3 linked regions of the Drosophila melanogaster genome follow. The protein of the gene in region 1 interacts with the protein of each later gene in a pairwise test. Each region holds a gene or a part of one and is shown in the gene's direction. Other genes may lie near its edges.

Region 1 (3,105 bases):
AGCTAAATGTACGTACATATATTATGCGGCAGTTTTTGGCTGGCTTTGGAAATTTCAATAGAGGCGGCAAATGCTTTGGATTTAGTGTTTACAAAGCTTGTGAACAGTGAAAAGATGATCCAACATTAATTATGTACGAAACTGAAACTGTGAGGGGAAACAAAATAAGGAACTTTAACAATTTCTTTAGGTATTCCCTTTGAAAGTTTCTAAGAACATGCTTGATAACCTTTAAAATCTAGAGTGGAATATGTGGAGTATGTATACGTCCTTGAAATATATATAGTGTGTTTTTTATACGAAAATAAAAATGTGTCTGTAAAATTAATTAACCAACTTAAGTTGATTTAAACATGGTTTTCTTATTCTTATATTAAACAAAGTGATAAAACTCAATAGATTATTTATAGTGTAATTACACTCAATACACCTACAAACTCAGAGTTCATACAAGTGCTAACTAAACAGTCTGCAACATTCGGTCCTAAAGGGATTGATACATTTATTTGACTGCCAAATATTGTACACCCGTTTTTATGTGCGAAAATATCGGCCAGAAATGTCTGCCTATATTTAAATAACTCTGTCGCAATGACCGTAGCGAAACGTGTCCGACAACGGTTTTAAAAAATTAACAACATTGCTCCAATTAGTCTGGGCAGTGCGGATCATAATTGTATGGGCACACATCGTTCTTATATAGTATATACATATGTATATTTCGCAGGCATTCGAATATCCAAATTTGCGTCACGGCACTGAGTTTTTGCGACTCCTTTCGTTTTTAAATCCATTTGGTTATCACCATGGACAGACGCTTAAATTGAATTTATAAATAGTAACAGACCACTATTTAACTAATAGACTCAAATTCGAACAGCAAAGACTTACTAATCAAACAGATGTCGACTTACTTAAGAGCTAGTTTTTATCGATAAGTGAGCTGGATTTATTAAAAAACTAAAAAAAACCCAGCTAAAAGTCCTTGAAATTTTTACTTTTATTTTGCACTGCTAATAAGATATAATTTTGGGCTTCCTAGTTGATTCAGTATTCCGAGATATAATGTATATTTATAATTATTTACTAATATTTGTTAAATATAACTAATAATTATCAGGTCACTGTTAAACAAATAGTTTTACCTATTCTCGCTTTCGCCGTCAGATGGCTGAATCGAATTTGGCAAAAAGGTAATTTAACTATTTACGAATGGTTTTCGTCGGACATATGGTGGTGATGGGCCTGACTAATTATCCACTGAGATCTGCACGGCCGACAAAGGAAAACAAACAAATATTTACGGAACACACATCCATTTGATTGCCTGCGGTTGGTGGACCCTTCCTCTTCATTTTCATCGCAACATCTGGTCCTGAAATTGAAGGACCTCTGACCAAACGAATCAGCTGTGTCCAAGGTCGCACCCCTGTAGTTTTAACGGCAAACTCCCCATTTCCATTTGAGTCAATACTCATCGCCTTTTACCTTTCGGTTCCGCAGTGGGTCAATAATTAAACTAACGATGAAATTGATACGTTGTATATCCAAACTCACATTTATCTATAAGTTTTAGATACGGTATTTATGTGTTTCCTTCAAATAGTTGTTTGAGTAGATTACAAAACTAGAAACATGGTTGAAATTGTTATTTATTTGTTTCAATGGAACCTATTTAAACTTTCTCACCCAACTTGGTAAAAATTAGAGCTTATTTTGCATCACTATTCTAGCGAATCCGTTTCGGTCATAGGCTATTTCCCTATGCCGGATCGATTTGCACCACATTAGCATAGCTCCATCGACAAATGCGTTAGTATCTATCCGGAAATGGAGCGACTTAATTTGTCGAACAGGGCTCGCCTGTTTTTCCACCTGTCGGCCACCGTTCACCTGGGCTATGCCATTTACTTTGACTGTCGGTATGCCCAGTTGCCACAAGTGGCGGTGACCCTGCGCCTGGAGCCACCGATTGGTGGCAAGTTTAAGTACATGACGTTTCTGTGCGGCCTTTTGCAGTTGGGGTACTATACACTGGCGCTGACCTTTGACCTCCTCCGATTGAGATCTCTAAGGAAGCTGCGAGACTACATCTTCGCCACCTTTGCCGTACCTCTGGCCCTTACGGTGGGTCTCACCTTTTGGACACTCTTCGCCATCGATCGGGAAGTGATATATCCGGTGCTTTTGGACCTGGTCTATCCCAATTGGCTGAACCACACCATGCACACCTTCGTCGTAATCTATGCCTTTGTGGAGTTGGGTATTACACGACATCAATATCCGAAACGCAGTCGAGGATTCACTGGACTGGGTGCCTTCATGTTGGGATATCTGGTGTGGATACATATCGTTTGGTTCCGGACCGACATCTGGGTGTATCCCTTTCTGGGCGGCATCGCCTGGCAGCTGAGAGTAATTTTCTTTGTCCTTATCATGGTCCTCGGATTCATTTACTATCTCTTCGGCGAGCGAGTTAATAACGTCTTGTGGCAGCGATCTACTGGTGTCCACAGATGGATCGATTCCCATTGAAATGCACATTTGATAGTTTAAGGATAGGAACATAAATAAAGTATATAGGATATGCTTCTTATTAAATTAAATATGACTACTGTGGAAGTCAAGCTATGCAACTATTCAAATCGTACAAAAGGCGCAGTAATAAAACTAATATACATTTTTGTAGAAACCATAAAATTCAATTCGAAAGTAATAAAACATGTTTCCGGTACAAAGATCAATTGCAATATAAAAGTCGAAATCATCTAATTTTTCAACACACATAACGGAACCGGAAATCGCTCTGAATATATTATTTTGGTTTTCAAATGCGTTTATCATCGAAAAACCAGCTGCTAAGAAGCGGAATCCATATGGATTCGAACATATTCTCATTCAACTATATGATAGTCACGTGCGGAAATTACAGCTGCCAGCTGATTCTGGAAAACCGATCCATTGTTTTACTCAATCCTTTCAGCGGGAGGTTCCGGTTTGGCTAGGATGTGGGCTCCGATTTCGAATATTTCAGGACACCACTTGTGCCAATATTTCGAAAGTGATCTCCGGACAGCCGAAACTCAGAGAAGAAAGGCACAGTTT
Region 2 (4,725 bases), on another chromosome or scaffold:
AAGTGCATGGAGTGCACTTTCCATAGTCCATGGCTCCCATAGGGGCTGTGAAAGCTACATACATTGCATGTGATACGACGAACTAAATTACTCGAAAAATATATATTTAGTCACTGGCATGTTTTATGGATGCGTCGTAATTGAATTGAAGTTTCAAAGGGTGAGAGGTTTGCGGTGAAATGGACCGAAAGCGAATGAATGGCATTTTCCAGCATTTTCCGTGAACAACTGATGATGGCTCTTCGCTGAGTTCTTGTCGGATAATAAATTTGGACAGCGTGTGCGCCAATGGACAAGGTAAATAAGTGTGTTCCATTCTAAGGGTTTGTATTTTTACGAATTTATGTAAGTACAAATAAAGGAGAACGCTTTTCCAGTTAGTGCGTTTACAAACACTTCAGAATTGACAGATTTTATAGTAGTATAGATTAATTCTTCTTTCTTTGTTCTGTTTAAAAAATCATCAAATAATCTAATTTTCATAATTTATAATTGACTAATTCTTTAATTATCTGAAATATTAAATAAGTTTTCTTAGTTTTAATATTAGAACACACCCATTAATTAATGTTCCACTATATCCCAAACCACTTTTCTTCATATTTTATCCCAGACAACAGCTGTTAAAGAATAATTACAATTTGTGGTTACTCAGTCTGGCGTATATAGTACACTTTTGAATAAATATAAATAAAAAAGGAATCTTCGAGGTAAAAACGCGAAAAGATTAATTGAATCACATTAGTCTGCATTGCCGCAGACAAAAATATGCAAACTGAATGCGTAAGCCGCAGAAAATGAAGGGAAAAAAATGGGATGAAAAGCGAAGTAAAAACACAAATTAAAAAATGGAAAACGTGTGTAAATAGCGAGCAGCATTTTCCGACCCTCTCACGTTCTTGTATATTGCGGCTTGTGCAAATTTGCACCTAACCTTCAGAGCCACAACGACAGGTGGCAAACTCGGAAAAATCAAACGAGGGCCAGGAAAATGAGGAGCTTGGGGGCGCCACTTTCCCTTCTCGTTCTAGCGCTCATTTCGTATGCCGCGCAACAAGCATTTATGTAAATTGAAAATATGCCGGTGACGTTTGAGGGGTCGAAAAAATAGGCGGCGATGCCGAGTGGGGTGGTCATTTAAATTCAATTGTCAACGACATCTTCTCCGCCGGCTCTGGAAATCGGAGCTCAGATGAGAGCGGGTCCACTCGCAAGCCCGCATTTAAACAGGCATCTCTCGATAGGAACAATCACTTAGAACTAACTAGCAGCCATAAATAACTATCATATTCTTAAAACGAGAATATATTATAAATCTAATCGAATACATATGCAATCATGATTATTCTAGGGTATCTCCCGTTTAAGTGGGCATGCTAGTTTCAGTTTTTGCTCTTTACTGGTCACTCAAAACCAAAACTACAGTAGGCATAAAATATCATTAAATCTTCAAAAAAGCTTAAAAAATAAATACTTAATAAATGTGATTAAGGAAATCGGATCCAGATTGAACAGCATTTCATGAGGCGTTGCATGTATTTTAAAGATTTCCACTATTCAATATTTTTGAGCACTTTCTGTAGTCCCATTTAGGAAGTGTCCACTGTAGTTACGCGTGTGTACATACATTCACTTATGCTGCACCCAGCGGGTGACCACGCAAAGAGTATTCATATTTATTACTACGGATGCCGTTCAGTTTTCGTTCAACATTTGTGTCGTGCAGACCCAGTCACAGATTCATTCATCGATTGCAGGGGAAGAAAGTGAGGCAGGACCTAACGCGCACCCAGTAGCATCCAAAGCATACACTCAAGGATGGAACGATTGCTGACCATGTTCGAGGAGGCGGATCCCTTCGCCACGTGGTGGCCCACGATAGCGGCCCTCACGGTGGGCATTGTGATTACGGTGCGGTGAGTGCGATGAGTCAACGGAAACTGTGTGATATTTTTTATTCACCCGGCCACATTCCCTACCCCATTCCTACCCTACCCCACCGCACCCTACCGTACCCCAGAAGCCCCCATTTTTTTGGGGCATAAAAACTTTCGCCTCGGACACACGTAAATAAATGTCGCAGCATCCCAGTAAAAACTTCCCCTCCGTCACCATTCGCGGAAAAGTTTTTAAGTGGATTTCATACGGAGATGGTGGAGAACTCGAGAGGAAGTGGATGAGCAGTGGTGCAGAGAAGACCCGGATAATATGTAATATCTGAAGATTATTTCCACTTTTGTTTTTTACACCCTCCGGTACTCGAGGGTTAACAGGGTGGACTTTATTCATGCGAAACAAATTGGAGATAGAACACGTAGCCAACTAAAAAACACACATGCATTAAAAAGTAAATAGAGAACATTTTTAAGGAAAGCATTTAAATTTTCTATAAATAATAAATTTATATATAGTTGGTAAAGTTAGCGTTACACTATACGGAGAATGGCTCTATATGCATACATGGATTAATACATATTCAACACAGTATTTCTTGAAAGCCCTTCTCTAATTTGAGAGTTTTGCCTAATTTGTTTTGTACAGGGTATCTGGTAGTTCAACCATTAATTTACCACGCCGCCTACTAGTTTTTGTTATTCCTGAGCACCGCGAGCATCGCGGTTTTTGTGACCCAACGCTATCTGTCGTTTCGCAGTTGCAGGTGTTAGTTTAAGCTGGGAAAGCGGAAGCGGAAATGGCAGTGACTGCAATATGGCACTCTGCACTTCCCTTGCAAGCAAGTCCCGCCCAAGCCCCTCCGCCACCTCAAAATATTTACAAAGTGGATTTGCGAAAGTTTGGCTCAAAGTAAATGAAATGCCAAATGAATTCCAAAATGAGGGATGGCATGGCAAACTTGGCTCTAAGTGCCAAAAATAAGTCGCCGCCAAATGAAGTGGAGCAAATGGAATGCGGTGAAGATTATAGAGGAAGTAGCTGACTGCAAAATGCAGAAATTAAATTGCCTTCGATTGCGGGAGAGGTGGGCTCTTAAAATTTGGATTGCAGTGAGCATTCTGTTTACAAAGCCAATTATAATAAAAATCAAGCACCTTATGTGAATATCTTTTAAAGTTTCAAAATAAGCTGCATTTGAGCTGATAGCTTACAAGCGAAATAAGTTATTACTTTCAAATGGAATTTTGTTACAAATATGCATAATATTAAACTAAATTTACAGACAAGTGGACTAACTCGCACAAAAAGTGCAATTAAACGAATTGGAAATGAATTAGAACTCAGCCATGCGAATTAATTGACTACAGCACGAATATATACTAATTAGTGAGCTTTGTACCTGTTTAGAGTTTAAAACACATTTCGCATATAGCTTTAGATAATGCCTGTGCTGCAGTAATTTCGTTTGTTTCCCAAGGCTTGAAATTAAATAAATTGACAATTATTGTTTACAGACATACGCACCGTAATTAATGGAGTCGAAAATGAGCGGCCAGAGTTAGCCAAATCGCCAAATGGCCGCAGGCAGACTTATGCAAATAGTCATGCTGATTCCATTAACGCCTATCAATAAGCCAAAATTCCGACTATATGCCTTTACCACCCCTTAACCGCCACCCTTACTACTTTGAAAAAATGTATAAGGTTTATTTTACACAAAAATATTAAAAAACATGCTATAGCTTAAAGCAAATCTATTTTAAACTAATTATGTCAATTTGAAACTTACTATACGCAAAACTGATGATGTATAACATTTTTTAAAATATCTTATATAAAAAGTTTCTTCGATTGTAAAAGCATGACTCTTTTTTTAAGATCTTTTATGAGTTTCATATAAAAAGAATCACTTTTAGTGGTAATATTTAGCTAAGTGCACACACGCAACATGAATGCAGGACATCATTAAGCTACCCATAAACCACTAGCCACACCCACTGATCCACATGCCCGCCCCTTTGCCATCCAACATTCTCCATCCTTCCAACTCCATCTAATCTGTATCCTTTACCCGCATGCCAGGACCTTAATGAGCGGCCAGCGCTGTCCGAACGATAATCAAATCAAGGAGCAAATCGTGGTGGTCACCGGCGGCAACAGCGGCATTGGCTTCGAAATAGCCCAGGCTCTGGCTGGCCGAGGTGGCCGGATAATCCTCGCCTGCCGCAATCTCGAGGCCGGGAAGCGGGCGGCGGCCATAATCAAACGTGAGCTGGGCTGCCGCACACCCCTGAATTCCTTGGATGAGGATGACAATCCGGAGGACAGGTACTTCGTGGAGGCACGCTACTTGGACCTCTGTTCGCTGCGCAGTGTCCATCACTTTGCCGGCCAGCTGATGGCGGAATTCGAGCGGATCGATGTGCTGGTGAACAATGCCGGAGTGGTATTCGCCAACACTCAGATGCCCACCGAGGATGGCTTCGAACGGCACAGCCAGGTGAACTATCTGGCCCCCTTCCTGTTGACCCACCTGCTCCTGCCACACTTGCAACGCTCGGAGCAAGGACGCATCCTCTTCGTTTCCGCCCATGCCCATCAGGGCGCCAAAATCGATTTCGACGATCCCCTGAATGTGGGCACCTGGTCGGTGAAGTTCCACGCCCGCGAAGCATTTGCCCACTCCAAGCTCTGCGTGCTCCTTGCCACCCGTTGGATGGCCAGGGAACTGAAAGGTAAGTGCACAAAGTTCGGGACCTATTCCCCGAGAGGGAACTGGGGAAGTGCACTCGAAGGAGCTGCCTTTTTGGGCTATCTCAATTGCTCTGT
Region 3 (3,818 bases), on another chromosome or scaffold:
GTCAAAGTTTTGGCTAGGGCTGTCAATAAGTCGATTAAATAATCGATAGCATCGATTTCTTGGCCCATCGCGAAAGTAAGCGCGAAATTTAAAAACCCAACGGATGTCTTCACCTTCGTCATTCAGAAGAGCATTCGTCATTCATAATTAATGTCGACAAAGGAGTGTACTTGGCATTGCAAATTAGTCAGGCACGTGAAAACACCATTTTTATTTTTAGCCTAATTTGTACGTGTTTTTGAGTGCTTTTAACCTCTCAAACAAACATTTTTGTTGTTTATTTTTAGAACCGCTTATAAACAATATACAACTATATGGCGGAGAAATGGCATTGTGTGAAAAACTTTAATTAGATCTAAGAATATCATTTAATATATTGTTTTTTAATGTGTTTTTATTGCACAGATAGCTATTAATAGCACTTGGAATCTTTCTTTAATAGGAAATCTACTATAGACACTGTTGAAACTAGCTTTAGCTGTAGTTTTTGTATAAAACCTAGTCTAAACTACATGTTTACTATGTTTACCTCTTTATTTCCCTTCCTGTGAAGCTTTCTTAGTCCACCCACCTGAATTGTTTACGCCTCTCACTCAAATCCAGGACTCTTCTCAATGGCTTGGGTGAGTTGCCCGGCGACGTGGCTGCCGCTCCATCATTTTCCTCCTCCAGAGAACTGGACACCGAGGTACTTGCCACCATTTGGAGGGCCAATTGGAGATCCTCCTCACGCATTTTTTGTTGTTTTTTTTTATTGGAAAAGTATGAAAAAAAAACCGAGTTTTGAGACGACAACCTCGTTGTTCCGGTGGCGAGATCCAACTAAGTGACTTCTCGTGCTTCGTTTTCCAAAATATATACAATGCATGCGCATATGTAATACTTGGCAGTGCGATCGGAGAGGTAAGTTGTTGAATAGATGCTATGCCCGCCTCGTACACTCGTACTTTGAATTCATTAAGAGCCTTCCGATATTTACATTTCCAGAGCAACTTTTTTCGAGCGGTCCATATTTTGGCGGCCCCGGGGCGTGGCCGATCTGGTATGAGATCGATTTATAAGCTATGCGTGGATTAATAGCCGGTGGCGCACTCTTAATAATATATGTCCGAAGGTAGCGCCAAGAATATAGGCCCATTTTTGCATTAACACCGATCGATTTTAAGTGGACCTGCGCCTGCCAATATTGTCGATACACATTTTCACATTTTTATATGCCATTTGCATATTCCGTTTGTCCATTTTATATAAGAAATATTTTGTCGCTTTAAATTTGTATTTATGACCAAGGTGAATTCTCAGGGGTGTCAGGAACTACTGATCAAGTAGGGATTTCTTTATTAATAATAATTGTTTGTTTATTGCATTTTTGGGTTTAAGTGTGTAAAGTGGTAAAATTTCATACATTTTTGATTTCATTTTGGTAATATTGATGCTATTTAAATATTTATTTATTACTTGCACCGATTTCCTTCTTAATTTATTTTTAAGTATTTTAGTTATATAAAGAGATTTTCTTTGGATTTAATGTAAATAATTTTTTACATGAATGAATCCGAGCTTACATCTATTCTACATCCGACTTGACTGTTGCATTCTACAGCTGCGCTGCGGTCACACTAAGCGGCAACACCGGGTGGAATCGATAAACAATTACTATCGAACACACATCGATTGTTGAGAGAGCTGTGAAGCCGACGATTTTACGTCAAAAGCGGAATAAGTTTATTTAACGTACGAAAAAGCTAAGCATAATGTCAGCAAAGGCAGCCTTACCACTGCAGATGTTTGGCCGGCGACTCGTCCACCTGAGGTCATCGGTCACTTCTCAAAATATGAGGTAATTCCGGTTGCATTGCTTCCTCTTATCTGTGACGTAATGAGGGCGCACGTTTGTCGTTTCGCATGTAATTCTAACATTGCCTCCCGTCTCACTCCCAATCGTCTACCACACAACCAGTGCCCTGCGTTTGTACAGCACAGAGAAACAGCCGGAAGAAGCGACAGAGCAGAAGGCCACCGAATCGTCGCCAGAAGTTGAGAAACTCACCAAGGAACTGGCCGCCGCCAAGGAGCAGAATGCCGAGCTAATGGACAAATACAAGCGTTCGCTAGCCGACAGCGAAAACATGAGGAACCGACTGAACAAACAGATCAGCGACGCCAAGATCTTTGGCATCCAGAGCTTCTGCAAGGATCTGCTCGAGGTGGCGGACACACTGGGACATGCCACACAGGCGGTGCCCAAGGATAAGGTACAAACTATCTTATCTTAAGATTTAAGGTTTAAGGTATCTTAAGGATTCAGACTCGCAATGAAGTTGCATATGTTGAGATAAGAATTTCGTAATTATTTGTTGCCAATACTTGAAAATCTTCATAGCATTTTAAGGTGTATTTTCCCGATCTTTCCATTTCTATCTGAGAGATAACAAACCCGATTGCATTACATACATCTAATTGTACATATAGATTTGTTGGGGTATTTTAAATTGAGATATTTGGATAACTTGTTAGCCATTTTAGACTTAATAGATAGTTTAATCGTTTTGCATTAACATTCTTAAAGCTACCCTTACTAATGATCTTAATTATTGCAGCTCAGCGGCAATGCTGATTTGAAGAACCTGTACGAGGGCCTCACCATGACGCGCGCCTCGCTGCTGCAGGTGTTCAAGCGACACGGACTGGAGCCACTGGATCCCATCAACCAGAAGTTCGACCCCAATCAGCACGAGGCGCTGTTCCAGAAGGAGGACAAGACCGTCGAGCCCAACACCGTGGTGGAGGTGACCAAGCTGGGCTACAAACTGCACGAGCGTTGCATACGTCCGGCCTTGGTGGGCGTGTCGAAGTGTTGATAGCCATGCGGCTGCCCAGAGGCATGTAAAATTCCCAGTACTCCCCCCCCCCCCCTAAACCAATTTACATGGCGTGTGTCTCTCAATTGTTTGCAATTTGTTTTCCGCTGCAAAATTCATGTACGTAAACCCTGTGTAAATACAACCTATCCCACAAACGCATCCTTCGGGCAAAGCTTGCGAATTTAGAATTCCTCCTAGTTTCTAAGAGATCTGTGACTGGATTTGATGGCCACAATTTGTACCATACGCGTGGCCATCGAGTGTTCCACTTTAAGGTTTAATTACGATAATAAAACATGTTTTAGTTTGTTGAAATATACCACGGAAATTTGTATTTCATCCTCATCTGGAGGAGACTCTGTTTATCTAGGTCTCTTTTTAGTTTCCTTTGATTTTCCCCGTTTTCCTTAGCCCTTGAAATTCGAATCCCTCATGAAAAACCATTTCTTTTGTTAACAAAAACCAGGTAGCGAAGCGTAATCGCATTCCTGCTCGTCGCGTAGGTGGAAAATTCAATGGAAATGCGTGATTTTCTATGACCCAGCAGGTAGGCTTCCAAGCACGTTCCCATGAATTCAGAGGTAGCACAGATGGTGGGTTCCCTAAAACGAGATTTGCGCCAGAGTTGAAAGTCTACTTCAAACGGTTTTGAACTATCTCGTTGGTTAGTTGTCCTTAAACATTTGAAGTGAACGGTATGATTGGTGTGCTAATGCGTTTTCTCTGGTCCTTGGCCATGGTGCAGTGCATCCAGGCTAGAGTGTCGATGCTGCCTCGTTTTTATGGACAAGACAGCGCTGTTATAGTGGACATCAATAGAAAATTCCCACCTAGAATGGACTCCAAGCTGCAGAATGCCCTGTACTACAACCTGCCGGTCTACAAACTGATAAAGCCAACCACAACAACTACGACAACCACGACGGCTGCTCCAACCTCTGGCTATCCTGCTGA

What was found.
Region 2: the proteins of CG6149 (region 1) and naz interact in a two-hybrid assay, tested with the Drosophila melanogaster proteins (one large-scale study listed by BioGRID).
Region 3: the proteins of CG6149 (region 1) and Roe1 interact in a two-hybrid assay, tested with the Drosophila melanogaster proteins (one large-scale study listed by BioGRID).

The regions. Positions count from the first base shown.
Region 1 is NT_037436.4:11,434,187-11,437,291, reverse strand, and holds CG6149 (uncharacterized protein), read left to right. Parts: upstream 1-1,815; 5' UTR 1,816-1,830; coding exon 1,831-2,535; 3' UTR 2,536-2,597; downstream 2,598-3,105.
Region 2 is NT_033777.3:18,325,912-18,330,636, reverse strand, and holds the start of naz (nazgul), read left to right. Parts: upstream 1-1,694; 5' UTR 1,695-1,818; coding exon 1,819-1,916; intron 1,917-3,978; coding exon 3,979-4,631; intron 4,632-4,725.
Region 3 is NT_033778.4:13,552,427-13,556,244, forward strand, and holds Roe1 (Roe1), read left to right. Parts: upstream 1-1,650; 5' UTR 1,651-1,754; coding exon 1,755-1,840; intron 1,841-1,960; coding exon 1,961-2,255; intron 2,256-2,600; coding exon 2,601-2,861; 3' UTR 2,862-3,180; downstream 3,181-3,818. Other genes in the region: link, read left to right, coding at 3,562-3,818. UniProt on the Drosophila melanogaster protein: Essential component of the PAM complex, a complex required for the translocation of transit peptide-containing proteins from the inner membrane into the mitochondrial matrix in an ATP-dependent manner.